2 linked regions of the Drosophila melanogaster genome follow. Changing the gene in region 2 together with the main gene of any one other region gives a genetic interaction. Each region holds a gene or a part of one and is shown on either strand. Other genes may lie near its edges.

What was found.
Region 1: of esg (region 2) and ase, changing one suppresses a phenotype caused by changing the other (phenotypic suppression), as found in Drosophila melanogaster (2 studies listed by BioGRID).

What each region holds. Positions count from the first base shown.
Region 1 is NC_004354.4:453,976-470,451, reverse strand, and holds ase (asense), read right to left. Parts: upstream 9,706-16,476; 5' UTR 9,497-9,705; coding exon 8,036-9,496; 3' UTR 7,276-8,035; downstream 1-7,275. Other genes in the region: Cyp4g1 (cytochrome P450 4g1), read left to right, coding at 1,224-2,894. UniProt on the Drosophila melanogaster protein: Involved in the determination of the neuronal precursors of optic lobes in the central nervous system.
Region 2 is NT_033779.5:15,324,879-15,341,280, forward strand, and holds esg (escargot), read left to right. Parts: upstream 1-8,987; 5' UTR 8,988-9,215; coding exon 9,216-10,628; 3' UTR 10,629-11,260; downstream 11,261-16,402. UniProt on the Drosophila melanogaster protein: Transcription factor that can both stimulate and repress transcription. Binds to the consensus DNA sequence 5'-A/GCAGGTG-3'.

The sequences.
Region 1 (16,476 bases), on a different chromosome or scaffold from region 2:
ATTAAATCAAGCAACAGAGGCAATTTATAAATAAATTAGAATCTCAGGTAAGCTATAGGCAACTTATTTTCAATAAATTGCTTATCATTTCAACATCCATAACCTTAATCATTGCAAACTATTACTAATAGGATTTCCTATAAACATAGACCTATGAGTATAACGTTAAATGTTATATGTTTAATTACTATGCCTTGCGCACGCGCTCAAATAATCAAAATGCCATAAAAATAAATGGTAATAAGAATCACTTATAAAAACAATCGGATAACGATGGAGGAGCTGGAGGATGTTGCGGACGAGGTCCACAAAAGAGACAGCTTCCTTTTCTTTGTCTGTGGCTTACATACTCTCTTGTTTACTCACTCGATATTTCCTTTTGCATACTTTTGCTCAGGTGTCGAGGACAAAAGCGCCGAAACCAAATTTAATAAAAAGCGAAAGCAAAACAAAGGAATATCATTAAAATGTCAGGAAGCGAGGCAAGAATCACCCACTTCCGCTCACCAGCAGGTAAATGCCGTAAAATACAGGTAGCCGAACAGCCAATGGCTGGTTTGCATATTCTAGATCCTGGCATCAAACGTACATCCGCAAGAAGTAGGGTTGGTGAAAGAGACAGTAGACACATTCACTTTTCATTCAAATGTGTCGCAAATTTCGCAAAAAATAGCTATTTTTAGAACTACGGAACTAAAAAGTTCGTTAAAAGAATTTTACGCTGTTGAGGTGTTTAAACGAACTGACGTCCAATGGAGGAACTCAAATAGTGTTATAAATGTTTTATTATTTAGTGCAAATAATGTTTCCTAATACTAGGATTCAATGTTTATGTTTTTAAAATGGAACCACGAAAGGATTTTAATTAATATACTATACCAAACGTAAAATCAAAGACAACCACGGACTTCGAAATGCAGTCATGTCTGCTTATACGGATCTACAATGACGCAGTGCAGGCATTGGTTCCAAAGGTATCACCGCAAGCGAGTACGTGACTTTGATTTGCTTTGCTAATTAGTGGGACTGGAAATCAAAGTGGCATATGCTTGACTTCAACCAGTGGCCCCAGAACTCTTGGAACCATATAAAATGTTGCATGTGGTCAATGGCGATTCACAGTTGAGCACTGGCGGCTGATATAGCAACAGTGCCATCTTCAGAAGACAAAAAGGATTTGCACCAGAGGACCAGGGATCAGGAGCAAAGAAGCAACAGCAACCATGGCAGTGGAAGTAGTTCAGGAGACGCTGCAACAAGCGGCGTCCAGTTCGTCGACGACGGTCCTGGGATTCAGTCCTATGTTAACCACCTTAGTGGGCACCCTGGTGGCCATGGCATTGTACGAGTATTGGCGCAGGAATAGCCGGGAATACCGCATGGTTGCCAATATACCATCCCCACCGGAGTTGCCTATTTTGGGACAGGCTCATGTGGCCGCCGGCTTGAGCAATGCCGAGATCCTGGCCGTTGGCTTGGGTTACCTCAACAAGTACGGAGAAACCATGAAGGCCTGGTTGGGCAACGTCCTGTTGGTGTTTCTAACCAATCCCAGTGACATCGAGTTGATCCTGAGTGGGCACCAGCACTTGACCAAGGCGGAGGAGTATCGCTACTTCAAGCCCTGGTTCGGTGATGGTCTACTGATCAGCAATGGACATCATTGGCGTCATCATCGTAAGATGATTGCCCCCACCTTCCACCAGAGCATCTTGAAGAGCTTCGTGCCTACATTTGTGGATCACTCAAAGGCGGTAGTTGCCAGGATGGGCTTAGAAGCGGGCAAATCCTTTGATGTTCATGACTATATGTCGCAGACCACGGTTGACATCCTGTTGTCTACCGCCATGGGTGTGAAGAAGCTTCCGGAGGGTAACAAGAGTTTCGAATACGCCCAAGCCGTCGTCGACATGTGTGATATCATACATAAGAGGCAGGTTAAATTACTGTACCGCCTGGATTCCATCTACAAGTTTACTAAGCTTCGCGAGAAGGGCGATCGCATGATGAACATCATCTTGGGTATGACCAGCAAGGTGGTCAAGGATCGTAAGGAGAACTTCCAAGAGGAGTCACGTGCGATTGTTGAGGAGATTTCTACACCTGTTGCCAGCACTCCCGCTTCCAAGAAGGAGGGTCTTCGCGATGATCTGGATGATATCGATGAAAATGATGTGGGCGCCAAGAGGCGATTGGCTCTTCTAGATGCCATGGTGGAAATGGCTAAGAACCCCGATATCGAGTGGAACGAGAAGGACATCATGGATGAGGTGAATACAATTATGTTTGAGGGCCACGATACCACCTCGGCGGGATCTAGTTTCGCCCTCTGCATGATGGGAATCCACAAGGACATCCAGGCTAAAGTCTTCGCCGAACAGAAGGCCATCTTCGGGGATAATATGCTGAGGGATTGCACCTTTGCCGATACCATGGAGATGAAATATTTGGAGCGCGTAATTTTAGAGACTTTGAGGTTGTACCCACCAGTACCACTTATCGCCAGGCGTCTGGACTACGACCTGAAGTTGGCCAGTGGTCCGTACACGGTTCCCAAGGGCACTACGGTCATCGTGCTGCAGTACTGCGTGCACAGACGTCCAGACATCTACCCCAATCCCACCAAATTCGATCCGGACAACTTCCTACCCGAGAGGATGGCCAACAGGCATTACTACTCCTTCATTCCCTTTAGCGCTGGACCCAGAAGCTGTGTGGGCCGCAAGTACGCCATGCTGAAGCTAAAGGTCCTGCTATCCACCATCGTGAGGAACTATATTGTCCACTCCACCGACACGGAGGCAGATTTCAAGCTGCAGGCTGACATCATCCTAAAGCTTGAGAATGGATTCAATGTCTCGTTGGAGAAGCGTCAGTACGCCACGGTGGCCTAGAATCCAGAAATCTAGGACCCCGACTACACACACGCAACCCCGAACCCGAAACCGGAATCCAGCCCTGTATATAGATGATGAATACCGATGAATATCCCAAACCGAAAACTTGATGACGAACTTATAAATCTAAAACACCGAATAAGAACCCAACGCACAAGCCAGCCAGAGAGTCAATTAATTTTTCTTTCGTTTTTTAACTCGTTACTTTTATATTTGATTAATACCTTTTTGTTTGTTGGTCTTTAGCGAGTGGTGCCCCTATATAATGTATACGTATATACTATATATCCTTTTAACCAACTATTCAACGCAACTGTTTGTGCTCTTCACCTTTTTAGTACTCCTACTTTTACCACTATCTATACTTTTTTTTCGTAGCCATGTAGTGTGATTTTTTTTCTTTATTCTAGTATTTATTAAGTCAAATGGTTTAAACGAAACCCAAAAAATATGAAAAATACACGTATGCGAGGCACGTAGCCGATAGAGCTGCAAAACAATTGTAATTGCACATCTTGTAATGTTCTCCTTCTGGGCGGTCGTAGTTTCTACGAACTTGGCTAACATGCCAAACTATAAGAAATTTGAATGCAGATAGACAAACCAAGTGAACAAGTCGACTTGGCTTATGATTCTGCGGTTTTCCAATCAACAAGTTAATGCGCTAATGCGAGGCAATCGACGGTTTGCAAACTGCTGGCAATGTCATAATATTGATTCAGGCCGCTGTCCTTGGCAAGGTATTTTCTGTTTTACTTTATTTCGCTCGCATTTTGGGTACCTGTTCATATTTGTTAGCATTATACTGATCTTAAGTCGACACCTCATTCGATGGGCGATTTGTAATGCGATTAATCGGATGCAGATTGCGATGCTGACAAATGCGAATGCTATTGTGTCGGAATCGGTAGCAGTTTATCGCGGGTTTCGCGGTCAATGAAAAGGAGGTGTATCGGAAATTCGTTAGCCTTCTCTTCTTGTGATTAGCTGAATTCCGCCGTTAGAAGCCGGCTTTCCCTTTTTTAGGCAATCGATTGCCGAATATCAATTTACAAAACGTAACGAGCCGAAACGGAAATCCTTTCGGTTTCTTCCGTATTTCCTGCCTTGCTGCATTTGAATTATGAACCCTTCTTTAGCATCTTCGGCAGACATAAAAAGGGGCATGAAGCAGGTCCCGAAAACCAAAATTCTGTTTGGTCATTGTCCTTTTTGCGCTAGGCAAATAGCGGCACTACCTGCGGATCTGCAACCCAATCCAATGTCTTTGGGCATCCGGAAGTTTGTGCACATTCGTTCTATTTTTTATGGCGGAATTCCTCAAACACGCTAACTGGATATCAGATTGTGGTCTATGTCCTTCATGCGTGACACTCCAGGATATACTTTGATGACCGCCGGTTTTAAACTCGCACGTGTACCTAAAGTTTTGATATTTTACCATTTGAGACTGACACAGTTTGATTTTGCCTTGCCATTCCTTGGCATTTCTCGTTGATAGTTTAAAAAACGGTAAAAATGATTTTTTATAGTCTCTTTAGAAATTCCGTAATGGGTGGTCATTGCAATCAAACGAAGTTGAGTACTGAAAGCCATTTTCTAAAGGGATATGTTTGGGATGGAATGTGTGGCCTTGTATTGCTTCCCCAACACAACTTCATTTATAGTCAAGAGAAGGTAAGGCCAAACAAAGAACTATTAAACGAGGAGCTGCATACCAGGACATCTCAATCAATGCAAAACTGACAAAATACCGCTCCCTGGAGTGAGCGGGAGTAAAAATTGTGTCTGTCATACAATTGAGCCTGGTGACTCAATGCCGATACTGTACTTCATACTTAGAATAATCCCAGTGGCCACCCTGGGTGCGTAAGTCAAAACATGGGAATATAGTCCTAGGACGACAGGGTATGAGGCCGACGTGGATTCAGTGACATTAGAAATATGTCCTGGAAAACATGTGCAACCAGACCTAGGGAGCAGTCTCGCTTATTGCTTCTAAAACTGGACGACGAAAGTCACATGTGTTATCCTTAAGCATCTTGCTTGGGGCTCAATTAACGAAAATTGATGGTGGTTAAAAATTTCGAAATATGTGTATAGATGTGGAAATAAAATGGAATGGAATTGGCTCAGATCTGTTTAGCAATTCGCAGATCATCAATGGTTGAAGTAGAAAGTAGGGAAAATTATGGGAGAGGGCTTAGGCGAACCGCAGGAGGTACTAGAAAGTGTTAACCCGCTTTGGGTTTTAACGGTTGTCCAGAGTTATTTTTTTGACTTGGTTTCTTGACCCGCTTAGGGTTTTTGAGCGCGGAGCGCACACTTAAGTGCTTCATTGTGGGTTGAAGTACGTCCACTTAAGGACTTAGAAAAACTGAAAGCCGTCGAGTATAAGTATCTGCTTAAGTCTAAGTAGCTCGGCTTGACCGGCAGTTAGTTTCGGAAGACACAGTATTACGAATACTATTTGCCAGAGAAGTCTCTCTTTGGTCCAATGCTGAATGAAACGGAAGGATGAAATCCTTGAATGAAAATATAACCTTGCCAACTGGTTACTGGGGATCAGCGGATCAGACCTCAAAACCATTACCGTTTTCTTTGAATATACAATAAGCGAAGGTAATGATTGCTAGATGACATGGTTTTCCAAAAATTATTAAAGATTTAAAATTCGAAGAAATTATTTTTTTTTTCGTGTCACCTATCTCAATTACGAGATCCATCGAGCCAACTCGGATTCGGCGGGTCAAAGGCAGCATCTGGTTCCCGGGATAACTGCAGTGCAATGTGCCCAGAAATTGGATAGTCAGTGGATCAGAGAAGTAGGGGTGAATCCAATCAAGTCAGCGGCAAGAGCATGCGCACACGCTAAAGTGAACTTAAAAACAGACGGCATTCAGTAATAATGCATTCATAGAGGCGTGGTCTAAATGGCATAATGGGGGCACAACTTAAAGCGACTGCAGCACCCAGAGCTACGAAAGCAAATCTGCCGATCGAAGGATACGATAGGGCTCATATTCCTTATCGGTGCTAAGCCTTTAACATTCACCAAAAACACAAACAACAAAAAGACGCACATAACGGCAATGATTTCCCAGTTCAAACAGTAAAAATGCGAAATTCGACCCAAACTCGGAGGTGTACGGTTGAGGGGCGTGTCGCATTACCAATATTTAATAATTATAACGGTGCGTGAACAATTTTCACTGCTAACGGTGAACGGCGCACCCACCACACGACCAAAAAAAGAATGATAGGAAAACACCTTTGCACCTGGATGGAAAAACTGAAAACTGTTGAAAAAGGGGGTTGCAGGCGATCTCAGGCGCTCAGGAGCGCGCCAACACATACATATACACAGCGAAAAAAAAAAAATAGTAATGGAGGAAAAAATGCCTCGCCTTGTAATTTCGACCTCAAAATAGATCGTGTTGTTTCCTCAGTGTACTACTTAGATTTCTTTGGTTTTCGGATCCTGCAGATGCGAATATCATTTGGCACAGGCCATCTATTCTTAATGGAAAACGATTTCAATTGATTTTCCTTACAGTATGCCTGTCTTATGTAGTTTTGCATCATCCATATCCATTGGACCGGCCCTTTCTTATTTTTTTTTTTTTTTGGTTTTTCTTCCGTTTTGTTTTATTTGGGCAGATGTCCCAAAAAAAGGGACGGGTAGAGAGACATGAGAACACGTAAGCACAGGACAATGAAGTCCTGAGCACAATTGGCAGGAGAGTATAGCGCCAAGTAAAAGTGAGGGTGAGTAAATATCGTGCAAAATAAAAGACGTGCGTGAAGGCTTGGCAACTTTGTATAAAAAAATATATTACCATTCCCTTAAATATCATTGAAAATATTTTCCAAATGTTAATGAGGGTCTGTGTGGTGAGCATGACAAGGTTTTAAAACAACTTCAAGTTTGTAGCCGCTATTGGAATTTCAAGCTGTTTTGGCTTTTCACTTCTTGACTTCTATGAGGACAGACAGACTAGACTCTATTTTTAAAAGCAATTCGTTTGATTTGCGGTTGCCGGTTAGGTCCTAAATAATAGTTCACCCTAAAACCGCTTTCTCTCAATTTCCCTAATATTTATTTTGGTGCGTTTTTAATTACTTGTGTCATTATGAATCAAGGCACATGTTTAAAAAAGAACCGCTAGAAAAAAATCCGAATTCTGTCATTCTGTCACAGAAGGAACCCCATTTTGAATATCGAGTCAATAAAGCACCGGAGATATACTGTGCCATAAGACACTCTCTAAAATATAAAACACCTTTTTTTCTAAAATGTGGTACAAATTATAAATTGTCATTTAATATACCTAATTTTCGTTGAGAAATAAAACCACAAGAAACAAATTAAGTTTTTGGAAATGTTCATATTTATTTGCATTTATTCAAAAGCATATATTATCTGCTTGTCATTTTAACGTTCCTACAATTAAATCTATAAAAAAAAAATATGGTTACACAAATACATTAATTTTTGTTATATACTAGACACTCTGTTAGTCCGGCTCAACATTAAGCCGTTTATCAGGATAACTATTTTGTGGTTGGGTCTTACAAGGTTATTTCCATTTGGTTTATATCACTAGATGACTTTAAATATGTAGTGTTCATACATTCATTTTGTCACACTCTTTCAGAGGATATTATAATATGTCTGAAGGTAGCAGTGAGGCATTTCCGACCCCACATCAATAAATATTCATGATCGGCATGTCTGGTGATATAAAAGGTGACTCGGGCAGGATCGATCAACAATATCATACGTACAAGTACCATAGCAAGAATCAAAAATGTACATATATTTTATAGAATTTGGAGAATATACAAATCTTGATGAAATCGTAAATTTGTGATAAACTTCATCGAAATTGTGCGAACTTTCATATTAAATACATGGTTTTAACAGCAAAGGTATATAAGCTTCGGCTGGCCGAAGTTATCCTCCTTTCTCGGCTTAAATTGATATTTACACAATGACTCAGTCATGGCTTGATTAAAAAAAACTTTAGATAGAATGGCCTGCCACAGACTTATGCTGTGAGGATTTAAAATCATTTAAAAAGTATGCCAAAAAATGCAATCGGCTTTTCCGAGATGCGTGATGTGAAAAAATTCGGCTAAACGGACAGATTGGTGCATGCACCATTAGATTTAGGTGCATGTGCCTCCCACCAGTCAATGGCATCGATCATGCTCTCGTCCGAAAGGCAGCCAGCGGTTGTATTGTTGGGCTGATCTTGCTGCAAAATATCGCTGAATTCCTTCTTGAATCCGGGAAGGACTACGTTGTCGTAGAAGCTCACGGGCTCCTGGTCGTAGAACGCGGGTAAAATAGGCGACGATCCCAGGTTCTGAACTTGCTGCTGCTGCTGCGGGGAAGTCTGTGCGTTGCTGCTGCTGCTAATGTTGGTACTGACGTATTCCTGTTTGATTACTTGCTGTTGCAGCGGTGTGGCACACGTCTGTGTCTGTAACAGCAATTCAGTCGAGGCGACAGGTGAAACTGGAGAAGAGCAGGGACTTCTTACCACCTTTTGTGGCACGGGCGATCGCGATAACTGGCCCGAAGCAGCTGTTTCTTCAAGTTTTTGCTCGTGACTCAAATCGCCCAATAAGTCAGTCGTCAGCAGTTGGTAGGTGTTGGTTCCTGGTATTCTGATGTATTGCAACCCATTTAATGTAGTCAAACTAGGCAGGAGATCACTGGCTTGCGGAGGGTTTAGCATATCCTCGGATAAAGTTTGTTGGACAGTCTGTTGCTCATCCATTTCGTAGTTGCTCAGCGAGTCGTCGAAATGTTCATCCAGACAATCGAATTCGTCCTTAATAAACATAAAGCTATCATCGCCGGAACCAGAACTATTCCCCTGACTGTTGAGAGGTGGAAAATCAAATCCCAGCAGTTTTTCCAAACTTCTTATGTACTCTACGGCCATGCGGAGGGTCTCCACTTTGGATAGCTTCTTGCTTGCTCCTCTACCCGCCCCCTGGGCCTCAAAAGCCTCAGATACTTCTTCTGGGATCTTCTCCCGGAGTAAAGCAAATCCATTGTTAACCTGCTTCACGCGATTTCTTTCCCTAGCGTTTCTACGGGCAACGGCTTGTGGCAAAGGCAAACCCTTTCTTCCAGGAGTCCCAAAACTCTGATCGCTTTGGCTTTTATGAGGGTGGCTTATAGTTCCTGCTTTTGGGGGCCTTTCAACCGCCAACTTCTTGTTGGTCTTGCATTTTTTAGCAGGCACTGATGTTTTACTAAGCTGTTGATTCTGCTGGTTGTGCCGGTTCTGCTTTTGGGATTCTCCCAGGGGCCTCTTCCGTTGACTGGATATGGGTGTGGTGTTAGTTGTGCTGGCTGCGGCACTTTGAACAGCGCCCAGCATGCCAAAGTCCCGGATCTTTCGAATAATGGTGTTCTGATTGGCTATATGCTGTTGCAAGGCGTTGGCGCCACTCTCACTTAAAACATTGTGAACGGTAATCTTTCCAAAAGGTTTCAACGTGGTTTTTATTCCTGGATTGGGGTTTTCCTTGGGGTTTTCTTTTGGAGGAGGTGATGGGCTGAAGCTTAAGGCGGCCATAATTAAGTTTTTTGATTCGTGGCTTTTTGAGGGCGGGAGAAAAACTGGTGGCGATTGCGGGTGTACTTTTAGCAAGTTAGTCCTTCTTGAGTGAATGTTAACTGGTGACTGATGTAATATGGTTTCCGTGTCCTTGCATCAGGACAGCTGCTGGCGCTCTGTGTCGCGTGCCCCTAAACTCCGAACTCAAACTAAAACGCAAACCCAACGGAAGTGACTTCGTTGACTGACATACACAACACAGAGCACACACATACAAAACAGAAGGCATTTGAGGTCCTGCGTATCCCTTATGTAAAGGGCCTGACTTTTCATCCCCTAGACTGGGTGTCCCTTCTCGATCGCTCACACATACACCTTTATCATATATATATATTATATACAGTACGGCTTTTGGGAAAACTAACATCTGATCAACTCGAGCCAAAAAGTCCACCTGGTTCAAGGGTGGATTTCGCCACGCTCTCTCTCATTATTTATCGGCAGCAAACACATTATGCTTATATACCGCCCCTATTAATATATGGACATTATAATAACCATATACGTATGCATATAATAAAAAGTATATTCCCTGGGGAGCTTTTTCAGCCCTGGTTTTCAAGGAATGCCCTACCACCTAGGAATTTGCAAAATATCCTAATAGATCACCTTAGACCTCCAATATTCGTCATGTAAAACGCAGAAATGCATCGAATCTTTATTTTTAGCTTATAGCTAAAACCAAGGACTGGTTTCTACTTCATTCGAAAAATGTCTCGGGATCACCTATTGTTAACTTTTCAAAAACTCGTACTGGATAATATATACATATATTTACCAGGACTTGCATTGGCAAAAACATTTTCCTATTGTTAAGCTAATAAACAGCAAGTATATACTGCGAAAGTAATGTCTTAGGTAATTCACAGGGCTACAATTTATGTTGGAAATTGACAAGATGCCAGAGAGCCAATTTAAATCCTTTAAGGGGTGAGAAATCACCCATCCTTCTCTACATTCTTGTTTTTTCTACGTCTGGCAAAAAATTTCTGGCAATTAGTCCGGTGGGAAAATAATTTTACCAGTGCTTTATTTCTATAATCTATTCTTTTTTTTGGAGCTTAGGTCTATCTGTGCAAACAAGTTTTCGAGTGCTACAATAAACTTTTTTGATCCTTCCTCTCAGGTAGTTTCCAACAAACCTGAGTAAATAGAGGAGTATACATATGTGTGTGTGTTGTACTTGCTGCACAATTTATAAACTTGAGTTCACTTAAAAGGTTCAAGGAAAAGGACTTGAGCGCAGGATAACCGGCGGGGAGAAGAAACTTGCGACGACCGACTACCGGTTTTTGATCCAGGATGCCACGTCCTCATTCCTCATTATGCAGACGAGCTCTCAAAGAAAAAGGAGTCAACGCTTGTGCGTACTGAGGAGTATTTGAGTACTGGGAAGTACTGCTCGGCGTCCTTTGTTGTCCTAGAGGATTTGACTCGGTTGCGTCCCACTTTGACGACGCATCGCAGCACTCATCTCAAGGAACTGTTCCTTGCCCCAGCCACGCCTTTCGTGCACTGCAAGAAAATAGTTCATAATTAAATTAACCATACATAAAAGTAGCGATTCCAAAAATATTACATGTAAACGGTTTCAAAAAAGTTTTGCCCCAAGACGCGGCATACCTTTTCGAATTTACTCCCACGTTCGTAAAATTAAGAACCTGCGTTGTAGTCCTGTCACTCTTTTTTTTATATATTTTTTTGGCTGTTATCTTTGGCGGATCGAAATGTTCCAATCTAGGCAAATACAATTTATGAATGGTTTCTGGTTTCTGGTTTATTTGCATTTTAAAAACGCATTGATTTCAATGGGAAAATATCTTTCGACGAGAGAAACGCCAAATGGTAATGAAACAGATGAGTAAACGGAATTGACGCTAGCGTGGAAACATACTGGATCCTCCATGATTTACTGAAACCTGAAGTCGTTCTATTTGGCTTGACCCTCCAAAATCGTAAATCAATCTGCCAACGCATGCAAGTCGCTTTGATTTTCCAAAATTTAAGTTCCCTCTTCTTTTTCCATTTTGTAACCGGAGAAAGGCGCCGGGTGAATATGTCCTGGGCCCATATTCTGTGTGTACTCGTCGTTGACTCAAGTGGATCCTTTAGGATGCTTCATCATTTAGCATCTGTGCACAGTTGTTCGTTCATAAATTGTTTTACCGCTTCTTGTTTTTTCATATTATTATTTCGTCTTTCGAGTTATGAGTGTTGAAAACTTGATGGAACGGAAGTCTTTCCGTGGAAGTCCTTGAAATAACTTTGGAGTCAAGCACTGGGGGAAAAGTGAAAGGACCCCAGCCGAGAACTACACAAAAGGACTCGCTCTACGGGTGAACACCATTTTTGGGACATTGTTTAAGGAAATGTTTGTGACGATGCCTTCTAATTATTACATATTCCCCCCATCGGATCGTGAACGAGTTACAAGTGACCGGTGTACAGATATGTAACTCTTTCTAACTATAAACTAAATAAAATTAGCCAAAAAATTAAGGAAAAGAGTTACTCCCGAATCATTTCTGCTATTTATTTAGCGGCAAACTGTGTCCCGTCCTTGCAGCAAAAATGAGCGGGTGCGGGCTGTTTTAATACCTCTTTTAAACAATACATGGGGAAATAGCGAGTTTCTATTTAAAAACTGCATTCGACTTTAAAGTGAAACTCACAATTCACGCTGATCGGAGTGGTAAATTGTTTTCAGATCGCGCACGTGCCTTGTGCTCTACATAAATGTGAGTGAGTGTCTGTGTGTCTTCTACCTGAGATCCTACACAGAAAAAAACCATCTTGAAATAAATGTGGTGAATCATGCAAGAAATAAATACGCATTCCGTCGTCGTGTTCTTGTAATGGATCTTTTTTTGTAGCCGGATTGGCACGTCTTTTCTTCTTTTATAGTGATATCTAATATTACAAGCATTATTCAAATTTTTTAAACACTTATATTTTTGTAATATATTTATTATATTAACTAAGGACACCATCTTATATTAATCCATTTTTAAACAGTCGAAGAGTGCGTACGTGTTGTATAGTTTTCTCTGTGTGTCGGGGACACTTCGACCAAACGCATGGTCTTTGGATTTTAGGGTATCGGGGACCTTTGGCGCGCTTTCGGGGGTATCCGAGCAATAATAAATTATCCTCACCCTCACCTGGCTTCTCATTTTTCCTTTCTCATCTCCTTTCTCGCTTACTCTCTTCCCCTACTGCTCCCCTCTCTTTTGAGCTAGGTGCTGTTTCTATCTTATCCGGTATCGATCCTGATCAAATCTGGACATATTTCGCTCGAGGCTTAAGGGTACATAAGGGAGGACTATAATTTAGGCAATACACAGTGGAAAAGCTAAGAGTATATGTACATATGTGCGGTGTATGTTCATTTAAGCATACGTTAAAAATGAGAAAATATTTTATAGCTAAGGCAGGCCTTTTAACATTACATTTTCGTACATACCTCGAAATTTCTATTGCACGTTAAATGATTTCTTGGTCTAATTTGAGTTTATCCCAAAAACAAGTTTTGTGGATCTCCCTCGCATTTGCTCTGGCTCCCTGTCGTTAGCCCCTTCCCGCTCTAATGCCCTTTGTTATGTTCATATACATAGAGCTCCGTATATTCCGTATGTATCGTGTCCCGTGCTGGGGTCGCTGATCGCCAGCGATCCTGCATCGTCATTCTGCCGCGAAAAACATCTGCTCCTGCTGCACAGCAATCGTTCAACAGCTCTGCCCTTCGTCTCTTCTGCTCTGCGATTGAACTCAGATCTCTTTCTACGCTTGCTGTCTCGCTCCCTTTAGAGCAACCCCTGTGCCAGCAAACAATGCCAACAGGAAGGTCCTGGGCATTAAGTTCCGGCAGGATTAGGGGTGTTTGCGTTAGGGATCGCTGGTAACTTTCGACCAACAGCAAAAGCTGCCTGAAAATCGGCAATTCAGCCTGTGGGTGGAACTCGTGAATCAATCCATATGGGCTTGAATTTGTGTAGTTCTCTCGATCCGTACACCTCTTACATAGTTTTAAAAACTATGTAGTCCTAAACTATTTTTCACTTCATATATATGTGATGACAACGTGACCCCAGGACGACGTAAAAGCATCCTTGCACTTTCATATGGGTTGTTGTGCAGCCCGATGATTTATGTTCGAGGGTGAATCCTCGAGAATCGGGAGCAACAGGATTGCAACTGGTTACGAAATTTTCTACAAACACGGCAACAATGAGCACATTTATTTTTGTGAACAATCGGGAGTGAAATAAAAATTATATTTGAGTAGCCGATTAAATTAAATGCCGGGAGGGTGGAAGTCATTGTTCAGAAACCTGTTGGCGTTGGTGAAAGAGGGCGGTGGCGGGGCAGTGGGATGCGCATGCGCAACGGTTTTTTATAAAGGATTCAAAGCCGGCGGCAATGCAAATTTGTCAAAATTCACTCTTCACACACTTCCCTAAAACGATGATCGGATATACATGCACTTAACGTAATTCTGACTAAAAATATCATGCGAGAGTATACATTATTAGCCACACTAACTAGAAAAAATACAATTTGTACAATTTTTATTAAACAGCTCACGAGTTATCTACGCCCTACGAACGACATTCTTTAATTTGTGAAAAAAAATAACCTTGCCCACTCGGGCTTTACAGACATATTTCTGAGCGCGTGTCTTCAGTTCCTTCGATCCCCTCGACCCCTTTACCTTATTGAAATTCACGATCCTGTACCATTTTAACAACCCCTTCAACTTGCAAGCCCGCTGACCGCACGCGCTGCCAGTTTTTAAGGCTTAAAGCCGTGCCAGTCGCAGGTGTCTGCTGAACTGGTTGCGTCCCGCCTTTGTACCATCTAGTTGGATAGGCGGTGACTCTGGGTCGGACCCCACCCCGGATTGGTATATGGTAAAAGTTCTAGGAGGTTTTTACTTCTACTCTACTACTACTTTGGTTGCTTAAATATGAAAACAATTTTTTGAATACTTGAACCATTGTAATAAGGAAGCTGTATTGGATGCTGTCGTAGCCGAAGAAAAAACCTGAAAGGATTAAAATGAGTCTAAGAGATTTATATTATGAAGTTCTGTAAAATGTTTATTTTCTAAGGGCAATTTATTGATCAAATTCTTAAAGATCTTTTCTGCTTTGTGATATGAAAAGCCTACAGCACTTAAAAAATACTGCTTAAGATTTGTTGAGTCGGATAATAGTAGACCAGGGAATTTAGCCATATCTTTCCTTTGCAGAACCGCTTTAACCTACTTTTGCAATTCATGAAGTTGAATTGCAGTTTTCGCAACAAAGAAGGACGATTTTTTTCTGTTTCTATTATGTGTAACCCCTTTTCGACTACTATGCTATACTAATGATTAGGTTTCTTGTGATGTCTCGTTGATTCCTTTTTTCGTGATTTGTTTTCAGCGTTGATTGCCTACTTATAAACTCATTCAATTGCTATCAGGCAAATTGGCAAATAGAAAAATTTACGCACCGTTGAGTTCTTTTGCCTTAATTCCGCATTTTTTCAAACTATTGATTTTGGTCGGTAAGTTGCGGTTAGGCAGAGCCGAAAGGATCTGGCTCCGACGAGGATTTAAATGCACTCGAGTGATCCTTTAAGTGGGACTTGTCTGCTGCTGCTCGAAATGCGTCAAAAGTAAATTTCAGCTCAAGATTACACAGCGATTGAAGTCCGCCGAAGCTAGTAATTTAAATTCTGTCGACATCAACCATTGGGTACGTTGGTACGGCACTTTTGGCATGCGGCACACAAGGACTCTACGGATGTTCAACGACTGCACTGCAGCCTGTGGCCCAAAAAACTCCCCGCTGATAAGACACTTGTGACCGACATTCGTTTCTAGGGGAAAAATATGAGTCTTTTGATAAGATTACCGAAAACATAGTTCTTGCCAGCTGCTGCTTATAATAATATAATATAATGTTTATAAATAAGCCTTCCAGGCCAACAATTTTTAAAATTTCTTAGTTACAAGAGCTTATAAAAAGATGTCAAATTAAAAAATGTACGCAAACCTATATATTAAAGAATATATCTAGGCAGAACAAGTTGACAAATTGTTTCTTCGCAAATAGAATATCTAGTTGCTTTCCAAGAAGTGTAAATGCATTTGATGTTTTTTGTGTATTTCGCAGTCCTTTATTTCCAAAAGATTAATCAGAAAACTCCTTTTCTTTGGCAATTTCATGGAATTTAATTTCGGTACTAGAGCTCTTGTCTTTTTATGAATCCACTGGTCCTGAAATCAAATCACTCCCCTGTTCTTTGGACATTCGAATCGAAGAATCAATGTTTACCCAAAACATGAAAAGGAACAGGACAAACGCCCCAAGCAAACAATGGCATGCTTGGCCATTCAAAAAACTTCTTTCTGGCATTGTTGCGTGATTTTTTTGCACTTGTTTGTATTTCTGATCAATTAAAATTGTTCCCCCCGCATTGTTCGTCCTTGCTTATTTCCAATAGTTCGTGATATTTGCTTTTCCCTTTCTCGGTTTGTGTTGACTTTGCCTGGCTGAATCCTGGGTTCTGCCGGTTGAATGTGCCCACATGCTGGGTGTTTTTACAAGGCATAGAATCAAATCCAAGGACTGCAGTGCACTGTAAGAAATTTAATAACATAACAGGATGAGGACATTTGGATGAGCCCATTTGAAGAAGGTAGGGAAGACGGTTCTGTCTGAAATAATGTTTATTTTCCTCACGAAAAGGGCTTCTGTTTTGTTCAGCCAATGCGAATTTTTTTCGAGCTGCAGCCACAACATTTTCAAAGTTGCAGAGCTCAGGAATATTGCGCAAATATTGCATTATTGCTATTCAGAGTGCCTCAGCCTGTGTCAATAAGATATATCATCGATTCCTGCGTCCTTTTGCATTGTCTTGGCTTTAGCCACAAAAATGGGATAAAATAA
Region 2 (16,402 bases):
GAACGCAGGCAATGTGGACAACTCTTGACGGACCAACTTATATACCTGTGGCTTGATAACAAGAACAATTCAAAAATATTTAAAAGAAATAATATAACGATTTCAGAACCTGCAAATATATAAAAGTATTTATGAAACCTGTCCTGGCACAAGCCAATGCCGCAGTTTGAAGGATCAATCTGTGATCTCCTCATACAAAGACAAAACAAAAAAATAGAAGCCTGCTCGTCCGCAAGGACAGGTGATGAACATCTTTCTTCTGTACTCCTGCCATTGTTCTGCAAAAACAAGAGATACCAAGAGTCAGGCGAAAAACGAACCTGTGCCTAGGCTATATGGCGATGCCTATCTCCAAGTCCGTCTATTATTCGCAAAAAGATCGGAGGTGGAGTACTACTGAATAGATCGACAGCAAACAAAAGCGGAATATGGACAGCTGACAAATCCGAAGAGATGAAGCCATGTCGATGGCTTGTGGAACACACATGCCAGCTGCCCTGGCGAAGATCAGGATTTGGCAAGGTGCTCTACTCGTCTTGATTACATCATCAATGGCTAGGTGGTCCAGATAAAATAATCTCTAAGCCCTTAGAGAAACGAACAAACTGTCAGCATAAATCTGGCTTATACATATGTAGTTTGTCATAATTTTCAGCGGTGAAATTTTCGACCCTCCTAATTGATTGGGAACGGATGTGGCAGCCATTCTCGATTGCTTTATACCTATTATTAATTGCCATAAATCTTGGAACACTAATAAGAAGAAGTCTGGGCCACAAATTCAGTGCTCAAGCTGCAAAGTTTCCAAGGCATTTAACCCGTCATTTGGTGCGACTGACAGTGGTCATAAACTATGTTAAACTATTTTATAAAAATGTTAGCAGGTGTAAACTCATAAAAGAAAAGCATTACTAACTGCAGAAAAACTTTATGTTACTTTGTTAATGAAATTTCATTTCAAATGTGTTACTAAAATATAATAGTCTGTTTCCTTCTGGCCCACTGTAGCAGCGTCTTTGATTTCACCCGTAAACTGTTTCGATGCTCGCCTCGAATTGCTTTCGTCAAATTATATAATGATGCCAACAGGGACCGGCCTACTACTTCGAAATCCGGCGACCAGGTCAGCAGGAACCACGCCCACTCACAGCCCTCGAAATCAACCGACAATGCACCTTTTGCGTGGGTGTGGCCGAAGCAGGCCAAATAAAAGTCGGTAATCCTTCGCCGACCATCGAATCCTTTTGTGCGAAGCAACGGGCCCTTTTCTCTGGCCACTTGACAGTTTAACCAAAAATGCAAACCGTTGAAATCAAGTTAAATAGTTTCTCGTTAAGCAGGGCTGGGCCGGTATGTTGAACCCTTTCGAGGCATTTATGTTGGTGCCTTTTTGGCCTCGCCGCGTAGCACCTGCCAAATGATTAATCATCATTTTGACGCTGCCCTCGACTGAAGTGCGTTAGTTTGTATTTTCCGCTGCTTAAATGCTAAAAGCTCATCAATTATCGCCCCGAAAGCCCAATGCATCTGCCTATTTTGGGGAACGGTCTGTCCACAGACTTCAGTCTTCAACTCTTTTTGAGGCGCCAAAGGTCGCACTTTCCTCTTTCATTTTCTCCTCTAATCATGTCCATCAATTTGATGGGTTGTAGGTGAATATACAAGTTGTCTTACTCGCTGCGCAATGGAATGAAGTTTTATTTTATAGCTCAGCACGTGGGAGGTCCACAGATCTCACTCTTTGGATATCGTAATTGGGTTACAGATGTTGGCCTAAGTAAGGAGAGGTCTTAAACGCGATAAAAGCGAGTAAAATATTGGTTGGCCGATTGGGCTGCTCAAATGTGGCCGCACTTTCTTCTCGGATAGACAACTATTTATTACTTGAGCCTACGAAAAATGTAAAATATTATCAATATTTTTAGTCATAAATTCGAATAAGTTTTATTTCATTCGAAATGGTTTAAAGTACGGCTGCGCTAACATGTCTCTTTGAATTTAAATATATATATTTATTAAATTGAGAAAGTACCTAACCTTTCTCCTCTTCCCTGCGAGTTTTCCTATCGCCTTCGTAGGGCAATATCCTGGATTTCTGACTGGGACCAACGCACCGACATCGGCACACTTATCCACAGCCAAAGCCAGGAATCCACTTCAATCGCACGCGCAGATGTTTCCCCGGAAAACCATTCAGGATTCGATATTCAGGACTCAGGCTGCAAGGATTTGTTCATTAGTGCGACCACTCGAGGCACGCTGCATTTGAATAAATAGAAGCAAGTAAAATAGAATGGAAAAAGGAAACATGACAGGCGAAACGGGAGCTGGGGATCCCCATGAAATTCGGGAGTTGGGGAAGCGTTGAGTAATTGAAAAGAAAGAAGCGTGCGCCGGCCTGTCGGTATATAAATCACCGTGCCACAGGATAATGTATCCCGAGTGCCCCGGAGCACTAATTTGAATTGCACCCCGGCATCTGCCAAGTGCCTGGAAGTACAATGTCTGCGGTGGCTGGCTTCGCTCGAATGCAATAGGAGATCCCCCCGATCCGGGATCCTTTATGTCTGCCTGAATGAGCCGCACCTGGTTGTGATTTTAAGAACCCAGCCACTTTGGATGGCAGGGGAGCAGGTTGATGCAGATCACATCCCAAAAACAACAGAAGCTCCACGATCGAGGACAGAAGATGTGACCAAAAAGCAGAGCCGCAAAAACCTCTAACTGCTTAAATTACAATATTAAAAGTTTATTGTATAGGGCAAGTTAACAGTGGACATTGGCAGGGGAATCGTCCACGTAATTTCTTAGTTATACTTTAAAGTCTAGCTTACATTTTTTGAGACAAAGCATTACCAAAAAATTAAATTTGATTAACTTAGATTTTTTTATTTAAATATACATTTCTTTAAAATTATTATAATACTATCATCCTCAGTTTATTATAAATATTTCCAGCTTTTTCCGCTAATATAGGTTTTTTTGTAATTCCAAGAGCATTCCTTCAGCTGTGGACGGGGCACGATGGGTGGACCAGTGACAGAAATCAGATCGAGCGCTGCGGCTTTGTGAACCCAACTGAACCTGCGCGGAGTGTACCGTTGTCCCATGTGGCGTTGCAACATCCCAGCGAGAAAATAATATAACATGAAGAAAACAGTTCCAGCTGGTGGCACGAGCGTAATGCTGTCGTTATACATTTTTACAGGTTGAAACCATAGCGTTGGAGTGCATTTTTTGCGATTGCAAATGGGGATGCACTGGAAAAAAGCAAGAGGAACTAAAAAAAAACCAAACTTTTGTTTTTTTCTTTCTTGATTTTAAAACACCTTAGAAATGTACTACATATTTTGAAGTACTTATATTTAAAGTGCCACAGTTAGTTTCGATTTTTTCCCGTGCAAGTTTTGGGCACTTTGGTGGGCATGGTGGTTAGGAGAGGAGAGGCATCCACAGGCACGCCGGCCAAACTAACAGCCATTAAGCGGCTGCCTCCGCCCCCCTGTGCCACAATTTTTGCATATGATACTTTTTTTTTTTTGTTTTGAATGGAGCTCCGTTGCCGCCTCCTGCTCATCGAGTGGGTCATGGTTTGGGCCACGGCTTGGACCAGGTTATCGCCCGGTTTATGGTGGCATCGCGCGTCATGTTCATGCCGAATTCCCGCTCCGTATGTAATAATTTTCGCTGTCTCCATCATCATTGGCAAGCAGTTTTTGGGGAGTGCATCATTATGCTCGTGGCATGCATTATACTTAGCCGATGTGCTTCAAGTTAATGTTGTTATAATGTGTGGGGCTACTTGGCGGGCCAAAATGAGTTGGGCATCGGCTTGAACATTGTTCGATTGAAAAAATCGAACAAATTCTTTTAATCAATATTTCAGTCTTCGAAATCATATCAGATATTGTAAATTTTAAGAAATCTAAATAATATGCAATGCTCCTTAAATCCCTTGAAGTTTCTGCTTAACATTTATTGCGTTTTTCGAAATGAAAATAAATTTCTCCTGACGTAATTAAGTACTTGCATTCAGTTACATGCATGTAGGATGTAGTATCCGACCACCTATATAATTCAATAATTCAGCAAACATAATTCAGACATTTCAATTGCTTCTCGTTTTTACGTTGTCTGGGTGGCAGCATTAAAGGTTGTAAAATTTATTTACAACAGTCCAAAACTCGACCTGCGTTTCGTTAATCAAACATAATGTCCTGCAGCATCGATGAAGAGAAAACTTTCATTTGCCAAGACCTTAAACAAAAAGCCCATGGGGCAACAACAAACCACACGCACTTTCAATGCGCCTGGAATTGGGTTTGGTATTGGAAACTTAACCGAACTGAAGATCCACACAGATCCGATCCGTGACGCAGTCTGCTGTGGCAATAATAAAAATGCTCGATTGTAATTCTCCCGCTGCAATTATTGTCTCAGCTTTCAAATGCGGTAGGGCTCGAAAGTTTTCGAGATCTGAACGTCTTGGCCAAAAGTAATTTTCAATTTTAACAGCCAGAGCATAAAATATAAAGCACAACTTGCAGCACACACTTGTTAATGCCACACGTTGGGGCAAGTGATTCCTCTCGGTTTATATACACTGCAAATAAAATTATTTCGTAAAATCTCAACTTGGCTCAAGCTAATAAAAAATATTTAGTTATCTAATGAGAGAAAAGACAATTGCCAAACCTTCGATACAATAAATATGTATTACTTTCACTAACATTATGGCCACAATACATAGTTTTAGGACCAAAAACTTGCTTGCAGTGCCAACTTTTGTCGCTTTTTGCCGTGTGTCCTGCAAAAAGAGGGGAATTACAAAAGTTTTTCATGTCTTCAGACAAATCTCATTAAAAGGCGTCGCATCTTCGTGTCGAGCCGCAAGGAGTCGAGTTCTCGGATCGAGCTGGAAATCGAAGTCCATGTCCATGTCCATGTCCAAGTCCATCCAGAAATCGTGGCCCAGTCATCGGGCGACTTGTGGTTTGTGGCCCTTTTTCCCTTCGCTTCGTTTTTTTTTTTTTTTACCAGGCGGGAGGCGTTGCATTTAAAATGTCGTTAATAATTTGTTGCTCGCCCCAGACCAAGATCAAAATACAGAGGTACGAGCCGGTTGGGAACGCTGAAAGCCCGAAACCCTTTTCTGCTTTTTAGAGCTTGTCGTAAAAAAGTTTTATTATTTTTGTTCCATTTTCATTGCCGCCAAAATAGGATTAGCCTGTTGCGGCTTGGCCTCTTTTGCGTCTTGTTTTTGTTTAATTTGGTTGGGATTTTTTTTTGTTTTTGTTGCCGATCGTGTCTGGGATGTTGCAACATCCAAAAATCGCTTAAATATCACCATTTTACACGCTTCCAAAATGTTATGGCAGGCAAAAAGGGATGCGTATTGGCTGCGATTCTGAAACGATGTCTGCGGTTTGCTTATTTGGGTCACCTATTTTCAAGTTTCGTGATTGATTTTTAGCAAATCTGGGGCTGAACATATTGAAATTAAGTTAGTGGTTTTAAGCGTGAAGTTTATAGTTCCAATACATAGTTACTAAAATAACAATACAATTTTTATATATTTATCCTCCAAATCTTTTGGAGGATAGTGTCACCGTCTGTTTTCTTTATTTTAAATTTAGTATTTTTATTATAAATTTATTTTATATTTTTATTAGTAATTCCAATTTCCACTCTCACTTGCTGGCGTGGAATTCCTAGCAATAAACCCGTTCGAGTGTGATTTAAGAGCGGCAACAAACGCAAACTAATTAACTTGCACAGCGGTCGAATGGATGGATAGTCGCTGTGTCGGTGGGTGGTCCTTTCCCGGCCCACTCCCGACCACTTTTACTACGGCCAGCGTCAAGAACGAAGCCAGAAAAAAACGAATTAGTTAACAAGATCATTAAATCTTTGTTAACAGCCTATCGAGCAGAGACAACGGCAACAGAGACTCCGTCTACCAGACTTCTAAGGCGAATTTAGAGGAGACGTCATGGGCAGCTTGGCCATATAACCACAGCCAAGCCAACGACGTGCGATAAGATAACAGATGCCCAGACCCAGGGACTCAAGCTGCTCTCAATATCCATACCCAAAGTACCTGGACATGGCATGTAAATCGAAGAACATGGCTCAGATCGCAAATAGTGGCCAAAATAGCTAAACAGTTATAGGGATATTTCCAAAAACTAGCTATTATTAAATTTATATTTTATTCTTATTTTATTAAAAGGTATTTTTGGAAGCAATATAATTAAATGTCAAAATTCTAATTATTATATTTTAAAATAAATATTTTTGAGAAATATTAATATGTATTTATTTATTAATATGTATTGATTAAAGGTAATCGACTGGAAGAAAAATAATCCAGATGGTCATCACTGGCCGCCAAACTCGAACCTGTCCTGTAGAATTGCACATGTTTATCTATTAATTTATGCTGGCGGTTTTTGGGTTCCTCGTTTGGCAATCTCAGTGGAATCGCACTTGCGCCCGGATAGTCTGCTTCCTGGGAATTACTGTGCAACGGAGTGATCTGCATCTGGATCGGAGTCCTCACAGGCACAGCAGTCGCCCTGCCACAGGGACAAATGCTTGATAAGAACGCTAATTAAGTTAAATGCCAACTGTGTGTGGTTTCTACACTGAAAAAAATATGTTGTAAACTGTATAGCATTATACTGACATGCTGAAATTTCATGCATGCTTATAGTTTTTATGTTAGTTGTTTAACAATTAGTATTTCATTTAACGTATTTAATTTCTATGCAAAACTATTACAAATAACTTTCTTCCTTAATAAATGAATTTGTTTTCAGTATTGCGGTGATTCCAGGTAAGTGATCAGAAATTGGCGTGGTTTGCTTCCCTTTGATTTATGTCCTGCCATTGGACATCGGTCGGTAGGAGGGGGCCACACCTACTATCTTATCTGTCGGGTGAACACTTTCGCTGTTTGTTTGTTTGGGTGTTGTTGCCACACATCTGCCACTTCGTGTCGAGCGTGCATGTGTGTGCTGGTTTCCACTTGAGGATCTCGACGTGCTCCTTAATTGTTTACCAGTTGTTTACTACATGGATCCTTTCCCTCCCGCAAATCTCAAGAACGCATAAATATGTGTATTTTGAAATCGCTTCTATGGACTATAGGCTGAAAGGTACCTTTTTGTGGCCAAAAAAGTCCGTAATATTAAGTTTTGATTACGTCATTATGTTATTATAAGATTAGACTTTAGTGTTGCGTACCAGAAATTTAAAAAAAAAAAAAATCCCGCACGGTTAACATAATCGACGGCAGGGAATATTAAATTATTAATCGAGAAATCCCCTGAGAAAGCCAAAATTTCATTAATAAATCAGCATGTCGCGGAGAAAATGTCTGCCAACGACGTGCATTTCCCTTATTTTAGATCAAAATGTAACAAAGAACAATATATTAGGGAGTTAACAAAAAATAAACATTTTTTCCTCGTGCTGCAAATAAAAAGAAAGATTGCCGATTAAATAATTCTTTAGTGTCTGGCACGAAAGCAGAGGTGCCTTTACAAAGTTTGCTTAACCAAAGTTTGCTTAACTTTGCAAGAAGAAGGCCTATTAAGAGTACAAATCAAAAATTGATCCCAAAAATGTCTTTTTACTTAAAAGATATGTATTTATTTTGGTAACAAAATTAAATATAAGGGGCGGACCACGCCCACAATTTTTGGTATCGTAAAGATATAGCCTAGTGTTACCCAATAAAAAAAAAAACAGAAACTAAATATCTCTCTCCGTTTTGTCAAAAAGGTACAATTCAGCCTTTAGTGGCTTTGGCGCCTCAAACGTTTTTCAAATCGAAGAGAAAATTTCGAGAGCGAAACAGAAACAAAGTGGAATCGAAACAGTGAGAGTGAAGAGAAGCAATTGGCTTAAAGAGAATGCTTATGCTCTTTTTCGTACTGAATTTTAGCTTGGCTCTTTCTAAACGTTCTAGTTGTATATTTACCGTATTGTATTTCTGAGAAATTTTCCTATTTTTTTAAAATTTTTTCTGGGTATTTGGACAAAATCGAATCAAATCCAAGTCGTAAAATTCTCGCCAATTCGATTACCGGAACATGCCCGCAGAAAAAAATTCTATATCATTATCTAATGATGAATTACAGAATAATCATATTAGTACGCCGAAGTAGTAAAGCTATTAATTTATTATAAATATTCCTAAGGATCCATAATGAAAGATGTTAATATATTTAATATTGTTTACTTATAAACGGGGAATACAATATTTCTAAAACTTTTTACGCAAAATCGATTGAATATTGGTTACTTTTGATTCCGTACAATAACATACTTGTTAATAAACAAATTTAGTGACTACAATTACTACGTTCACTCCTTTCTCCTGCCAAAAAACATTTTATTGATGCAGAAGTCTACCTGCTCATTAATGCATCGCCCTGTGTCCTAAAAATGTTAGTATTTTATGTTGGGTACCTGCCCATGTTTTTTGCGTTTCAGTTATTAAGTCAACTAATGATGCACCTGATAATGATAATGAGGTAAAAGGAAACCCTTGTTCGCTAATCCTCCAAAAGTGGGGTTTTTCGAATTTCTAGTTAAATTTCTAGGTAAGATCATAGATCTCCTTATTGCGCATTGAATGCAAATGCAGAGAGGACGAGAGAGAGCAGCTGCGGAGAGCACGATGCACACAGGTAAACATATTTGAATATATGGCCCACACTAGAGCAAATATAACGGCATCGCTTCGTTTGCGGCTTCGATTGGTGCAAGTGTACGAGTTCGGCACGTGAGGCAATTCTACATAAACAAGGCGAAACCTGTTTAGCCGAGTGCCGCGATTGGTCGACGCATATACCTGAATGAACATGCATACTCTCGGCGGAACGCCCGAGAGAGCGTTCTCTTTTGGCAGCTTCGTGTAATGAGCCGAGTGCCGAGTGCAGGGGCAGTATAAAAAGGCCGCACCACCGCCAAACTCGCTCAGTTATTCCCAGACTCTAACCGATTCACATAACCATCTCTCCCAACGCAATATACCCGAAATATAACCGATATTCAATCGCTTTGCTTAACGGAACACGCGTTTGGTATTTGTGCATCGATCGAGTATTTGTGCCTGTGTGAACATGACACACTGAAAACAAAGTGACGAAAATTAAGAACATTTTACAACAATTCCGGTAAACTATCAATAAAAAGCCAGTAAAATGCATACCGTGGAAGACATGTTGGTGGAGAAAAACTACAGCAAGTGCCCGCTAAAAAAGCGCCCAGTTAATTACCAGTTCGAGGCGCCTCAAAATCACAGTAACACCCCAAATGAGCCGCAGGATTTGTGCGTAAAGAAAATGGAAATTCTGGAGGAAAATCCCTCCGAGGAACTGATCAACGTCAGCGATTGTTGCGAGGACGAGGGTGTGGATGTAGATCATACAGATGATGAACACATCGAGGAGGAGGACGAGGACGTCGATGTGGATGTGGACTCGGACCCAAATCAGACCCAGGCTGCGGCTTTAGCTGCTGCCGCAGCTGTGGCCGCCGCTGCAGCCGCCTCCGTGGTTGTGCCCACGCCCACATACCCGAAATATCCCTGGAACAACTTCCACATGTCGCCCTACACCGCCGAGTTCTACAGGACCATCAATCAGCAGGGTCATCAGATTTTGCCGCTGCGTGGCGATCTCATTGCGCCCAGTTCGCCGAGTGACTCGCTGGGCTCCCTGTCGCCGCCACCACATCATTACCTTCATGGTCGCGCAAGCTCCGTTTCCCCGCCCATGAGATCTGAAATCATCCATAGACCAATCGGCGTGCGGCAGCACCGTTTCCTGCCCTATCCACAGATGCCCGGTTATCCGAGCTTGGGCGGCTATACCCATACCCATCATCACCATGCGCCTATCTCGCCGGCTTATTCCGAGAATTCCTACTACTCCATGCGATCGATGACGCCTGAATCCAGCTGCAGCTCCTCGCTGCCCGAGGATCTATCCCTGAAACACAAGAACCTGAACTTGAATCTAAACACTAGCCAGCCGGGAGAGCAAGCAGCAGCCAAAACCGGGGATATGTCGCCCGAAACTATGCCGAATGCCTCCGCCAAGAAGGACAAGAACCAGCCGCCGCGTTACCAGTGCCCGGATTGCCAGAAATCTTACTCCACCTTCTCCGGGCTGACCAAACATCAGCAGTTCCATTGCCCGGCCGCCGAGGGTAATCAGGTGAAGAAGTCCTTCAGCTGCAAGGATTGTGACAAGACCTATGTTTCGTTGGGTGCCCTCAAGATGCACATTCGCACCCACACGTTGCCCTGCAAGTGCAATCTGTGCGGCAAGGCCTTCTCGCGACCATGGCTGCTGCAAGGACACATTCGCACTCATACGGGAGAGAAGCCCTTCAGTTGCCAGCATTGCCACCGGGCCTTTGCAGATCGCTCGAATCTGCGAGCACATCTGCAGACCCACTCGGACATCAAGAAGTACTCCTGCACCAGTTGCTCGAAGACCTTCTCGCGGATGTCCCTCCTAACCAAGCATTCAGAGGGCGGATGTCCTGGCGGCAGTGCAGGATCCTCCAGCAGCAGCGAACTCAACTACGCCGGCTATGCCGAGCCGTAAGGCAATATATTTATATATACATTATATAGCTGAGATCCCAGCCATGTTCCACCAAAAATTAGTTCCTAGCTCTCTTAGGCGGCTCCAAGTTCCCGAAACTCCCAGTGCAGACACACAACTTCAAGCAGAATTTCACTTGTTTTTTAATTTCTAGTCAGCATTTTCTCCCAGAAGAGAGAAAATTAAAAATTACGTTTTAATTTGTACAATCCGGCAACATTTTTGTAACCACCACCACCAATTTGAATAGTTTGAACCATTTTAAAATGTGTGCCCATAATATATCCTAAAGATGAACTTTGTAAAGTATTCTTCGATTTATCCTGTACATAATGTATTATGTCTAACTGTAGACTCTAAGCTGAACAAATGAAACGCCAGACAATCAATCGTAAGCAAGACATACATCTCTATATTTTATACGATAGTATTTTTAGCCTAGCTGTAAAAACCGTAAACTATTTTTGATATGACCACTACTTTTTCGCGTACACATTGAAAATGTTCTACTGTAGCTTAAGTGAAGATAAGCAAACAACACATACATATATTTTGATACGAAAATGTTTTGTAATTCTAAGTAATTTATTGCATCAAGCGAAGAAAGAAGGAAATACATTTTATTTACATACAAAAAAAAAACATTGAAAACGTTTTTATTTCATTAATGGGTGGGCTTTGGGACCTTTTTATTTCAGGATAATATGCAAGTCGTTCTACACAAACTTAGAAAAAATCTTTTATTTTTCTATATACGGTAATTATGTTAACAATACCATACATATATTTGAAACAGTCTTAATTTGATACTCCTATATGCCAAAACATTGTTAATTTAATCATATTTAAGCATGGTATTTTCATATCAACTTCAGTGGTTAAATCTTTATAACATTTCTGGTCAGCTAATGTAATATTTGACATATTTAAATGTACATATATACAACCTTTAAATATTTATCTGTTGAATGCTTAGACCACATTTTCTATTGTCCACATTCAATTAAAAGTCAATTCCTATTTCCGGCAGAAGGTTCAATGGAATCTAGAATGATCGTGAGTGGTCTCTTCCAGAGTTCGCCACATATTTGGTTTTATTGGGTCATGTTCTTCTTCTTCGAACAAATAAACAAATCGAATTGAGTGGATCGGAAAATAAGAGCCGACCCAATCCAGCCATTCGCGACATTTTATGGCCCGCCCAGTGAAGCAAACGTAAGGCGCATTTTCTTTGGCAGACTGATCATAAATTACATATGTATATGTATGTATTTAAATTTCGGTGCACGTACGACGCGAGCACAAAATGGCAGTCACTAAATCAAACTTCAAGCCTCAGTAGACCCGCGCCCCGGCCAAAAAGTCGTATTAGACATGAGACGCGATCTTAATGAGAGAGCAGTGAAAATAGTGTCTTGGCCCGGAGATCATCAAGTGTGATCGATGCCTACCAGTATCCAGCCAAGCGGAAAAGCGCAGGGAAATCATAATCGTACGGTAAGGTATCGTTCGGGTGACAGAGCATACGAAATTATGGGTGCGTCCTCTGAAGCCAAACGAAATGAAACGAAACGAAACGAAACTCATTATCGAGATCAATCGATCGCCAGGCGGAGGAGAGCCTGCTCCAGAGGCCCACAAATAGCGCACACATGTGTGTGGGGATCGGGATCGGGATTGGCATGGGTTTGGGGATGGGGATCCGCCGATCCAGTCGATCCGCGATCATCGGCATCAGCGATCGACGACCACGACAATTGTTGCCAAATTAGATCATCAGGCAGCTAGAAAAGCAGCAAAACCCAAACGGCAACGGCAGCAACAAGTCTTAGTCAAGTTTCACGTGGCTACACTGAGCGAAAAGGGTAGGAATAAATACATTTTTAACTTGCTAATCTCTTCATCATTAATGCAAAGCCATTCGAACTTACCTAAATAGACATAGTTAATGGAAGGCAGATCTGTTTTAAACTTTATTACTACATTTTTCAAACATTGTGGAAATGTAAGTTTAGCTTTTTTCAGTGCATAGAGGGATCCAAGCCCAATCGGATGGATCGGGCCAACGTAAATATACGAAAATTAATATGCACGCATTTCGTGGCTCCACTTCCTCCACGGCGGCTTGCTTCAGTCTCGGGTTACCCAGCCTGCAGATCCACAGGGTCCAAGTTGCCGGTCTCTCCAGCGCCCTCAGCACCAGAGTAAGCCCCAAAAAGCGCAGCTCGTCGATCGGAGCTCTGCTCCCAAAACGACGATCGTTCGTGCCAGCTAGCTGGCTAAACAATTTGCAAACGATTTCTAATAAGCGTCTTAAATTGTAACAAAATAGACGCGCATTTAGGGCCTTTTGTGTGCCTTCGCCTGGCTTCGTCTGGCTTTCGATAACAAAGATCGAGAGCGAATAAAAAATAGAAAAATGAAATAAAAAATGGCCCAAAACATGGACAGCAACAAAACGGCAGGCTAACTGCCTCGCTTGACCCTCTCCCTACCCAAAAATGAAAAATATATATAGATATATAAAAAAGCAGCCCATTGGGTTTTTATTTCTGATTATTTTATTTTATTTGTGCCAAATTTCGCGCTTGATCGCTGCATTTTGGGCTGCTTTTTTGTTTTTGTTTTTTTTTACTAGCTATTCGACTGTGGGTAGCGGGTCCAGTTGGGGTTACTATGATGAAGATCTTTGGGTTAGGCCGTCGACAATTTGACTGATTTTGGGGACCCTGGCTTTTGGTGACTTATTTATGGCAAATGAATATTGTGCCTTCGGTTTGTTTGTGGGAAAATTTCCGATAGATGAATCTGGTTGGGTTCAATGAACTGCGTTCGAAGGATTTTGGTAAGTTTTCAAGATTTTGTTACCTTTTTCGGGGAATTTTGGGAATTACATAGGTATTTATCTCGTAATTTTATAGCTGGATTATGTACTATAGGAATATGGCACACATAGAATTAGTGTTTTCAAAAGTTGTGTTACCTAGAATTTTATGGTATATTAAATCGTTGATAAGTATAAGCGTATAAGTTATTTAAGACTTCAATTAAATATAAACCAATTCCAGCTTAATTCCACTTTAAAAGTGCATAGTATCCTAAAGTTGATGTACCCTGTTTTTTTTTTTAGCTATTTCCATCGCTTACTTCAATTCGTTAACAATAAACAAATATCACTCTCCTGACGTTTTTCGCAACTGCAGCTGTCTGTCTGCTCCTCCACCTTTTGGGCAACCATAACCCCACAGCTCCCAATCCCCACCCCCTCACCACGTGATATCCCTCCACTTGGTGTCACTGATAAAAACGGAGGATTTTCGCGAGGAAAAAAGTGAGCTGCACCATAATAAAGCAGCTAAAAGTCAAACGGCAACGCAGAAAGGTAAACAGATCGAAGCTTTATGAATATGCAAAGATAAACAAGCCGAGGAGCCTCCCCCCTTAGCCACCCACCACCTGCGTCACCCTTTTGTCTATTTGTCTATTGAAAAAAACCAACACTCTTTTTTTTGAATTTCAAATTTTTTAACGAGCCAAAATGAAAAACTTTCCAAACAAAAGCCAAAATACACACACACAAATATAGACGATCGATCCAGAGCAGTAAGTGATGGCTTTTGAGGGGCGCGAAAGAGAGGGAAGAGTCAGAGCGAGCGACAAAAAGCGCAAACTGAAATGAAATTTAGCGTAAAAACGCAGATCTTTTGTCTGCGATAAACGTGAGCGTTTTGTTTGTCACGACGAAACGAAGTGTGCTTTTTTGCGCGATTGCCAAAGTCGGATTTGGGAAATAACCCCCATTGAAATGTACGAAAAGGGTGGAAATATTTAAAATAGGGATTAATGCTATATTTAAGTCATAGATGGTAACCTCGTAAATTAAATCTTTTTGCTGAATTTCTTAACGCTTAGAAGATATCAGATTTTTCCTACCGAGATATGCAAAATATTTCTTAACTAGTCCAAATGTATTGCAAAAGCAGAAGAAAAGCTGTCATACGGAGAATCTCATTGTTTGAAAGATAGGAGAGAGATGCACGAAATGCACAAATGGGACTTGCTGTCTCCGTCTCGCACAGCCCCTTCCGCAACACCCCCCTTGCGTTTATCATGTGCATTCTTTGACAGTTTCAGCTAATTTGAGTGAGCGAACAACAACAGCGCAAGTGTTTTCTGCTTTTGTGTTTGGGGCCTACTCTATTCGCCACAGTGAGAGGCAGTGGGAGAGAGATGGAGATACGTTGGGGCCAAACTGTATGTTTGTGTGTGAGTGCAATGGTGAGTGCGTGAGCTGCACGACAACGATATCATCTTCAAATGCGAGAGTGAGAGAGACGACGTTGGCTGAAAATTGTTGTTGGTTCGGCCAATTAGTTAGTGGCTCTGCGTGCTCCAAAAGTAGTGTGGTGAGGGGAGCAAAAGGGGGTGGTACGTCGCAACAGGTGAGAGCGGGACAGCGGATAGACCAAGCTCAACAATTGCGGCAGGCAAAACAGCAGTTAACGCGTTTTATTGTCTGTTTGCAAGTGCCCACTGTTTCCCACTCTCTCCTCCACCGCACCGCTCTTACTCATTACTTTTCGGTGTTTGTGCGAAAGTGCTGCTGTAGATATAGCTATTTTTAGCGGGGAATATAAACATATTTATATGACTATCCACAATAATTAAAAAAATTTCTGATGATCATATAGGATTGGGTGAATAAATTACTGTCATACATTTCTTTTTATCCATAAATGCAATGCTAATTAAAGTATTGAAGATCATCTTTCGTAAATGTTGTAAAATAGTTTTATAATTTGTTTATATATAGTACCCGACATAGCTAAATGAACAGAACTCTTAGTCCTCTTGCCACCTCATTTGTTGTATTTCCCCCCTTTCTTTCGAGTGTGCGTGAGCTGTTTTACGTTAGTCAGAGGAGAGGGGATGCAACATGGCGTTGATCATTAGCGGAGATGGTGTTATTATTTGCACGTTTTGTGTGAAATGCACCCGCTCTCTCTCTGTCTCTATCCCCCTCTCTTTCGGCGAATGCGTTTGCTCGATCAACATGAATAGATTATAGGCCATGGGCTATAAGGCTCGGCTTTAACTATTTGCCCGTGGCTCAGAATAAATGAATCTTCGTTAAAGTTTGCAGCTGGCAATTAAAGCGAAAAACAAACTTTCTTCCACATTTACGGTTGCTGTGGGTGAAGAGCCCACTAACCTCAAGTAACTAACTTTAAATGATATTTCATTCGGCAGCCACTAATTAAGTTGTGACCCGCTTACACGAAACTTTGGCTATATAATTAAACAGAAGAAGCTAAGTAATCGATTAATGCTGATTAAAGATAAGTGCGCAATAAAGCTGACTGGCTTAGTCATTAGAATAGTGTTAACTCATTACTTAAAGACATTATAAAAGAAGAAACTATGCCAAATACGCACATAAATACTATCATTATATTCTTTGCATTGCACTTTTTATTGTGTGAATAAGTTAGTTTTTATTATATTGTTTCATTATACTGCGCACTACTTCCTCGTATCGATTACATAATTTCCTGCGCTTAGAATGATTTTTATTTTGAGAGCACCTATGTATTTGTTTCTCTTACAATCCTGTGGGAATCGCGCTTCATTTGTCTCATTTCCATATCTCCGACTTCCTTTCTCCCGATCTCCAGAATCCCCACCTGGCGGCCCTCACCTTCCGCTCCTCCGGCAATTGACCCCCGATGTCAGGGGCTCATCAAAACTACAGAAAGTTGGGATACAAAATATTA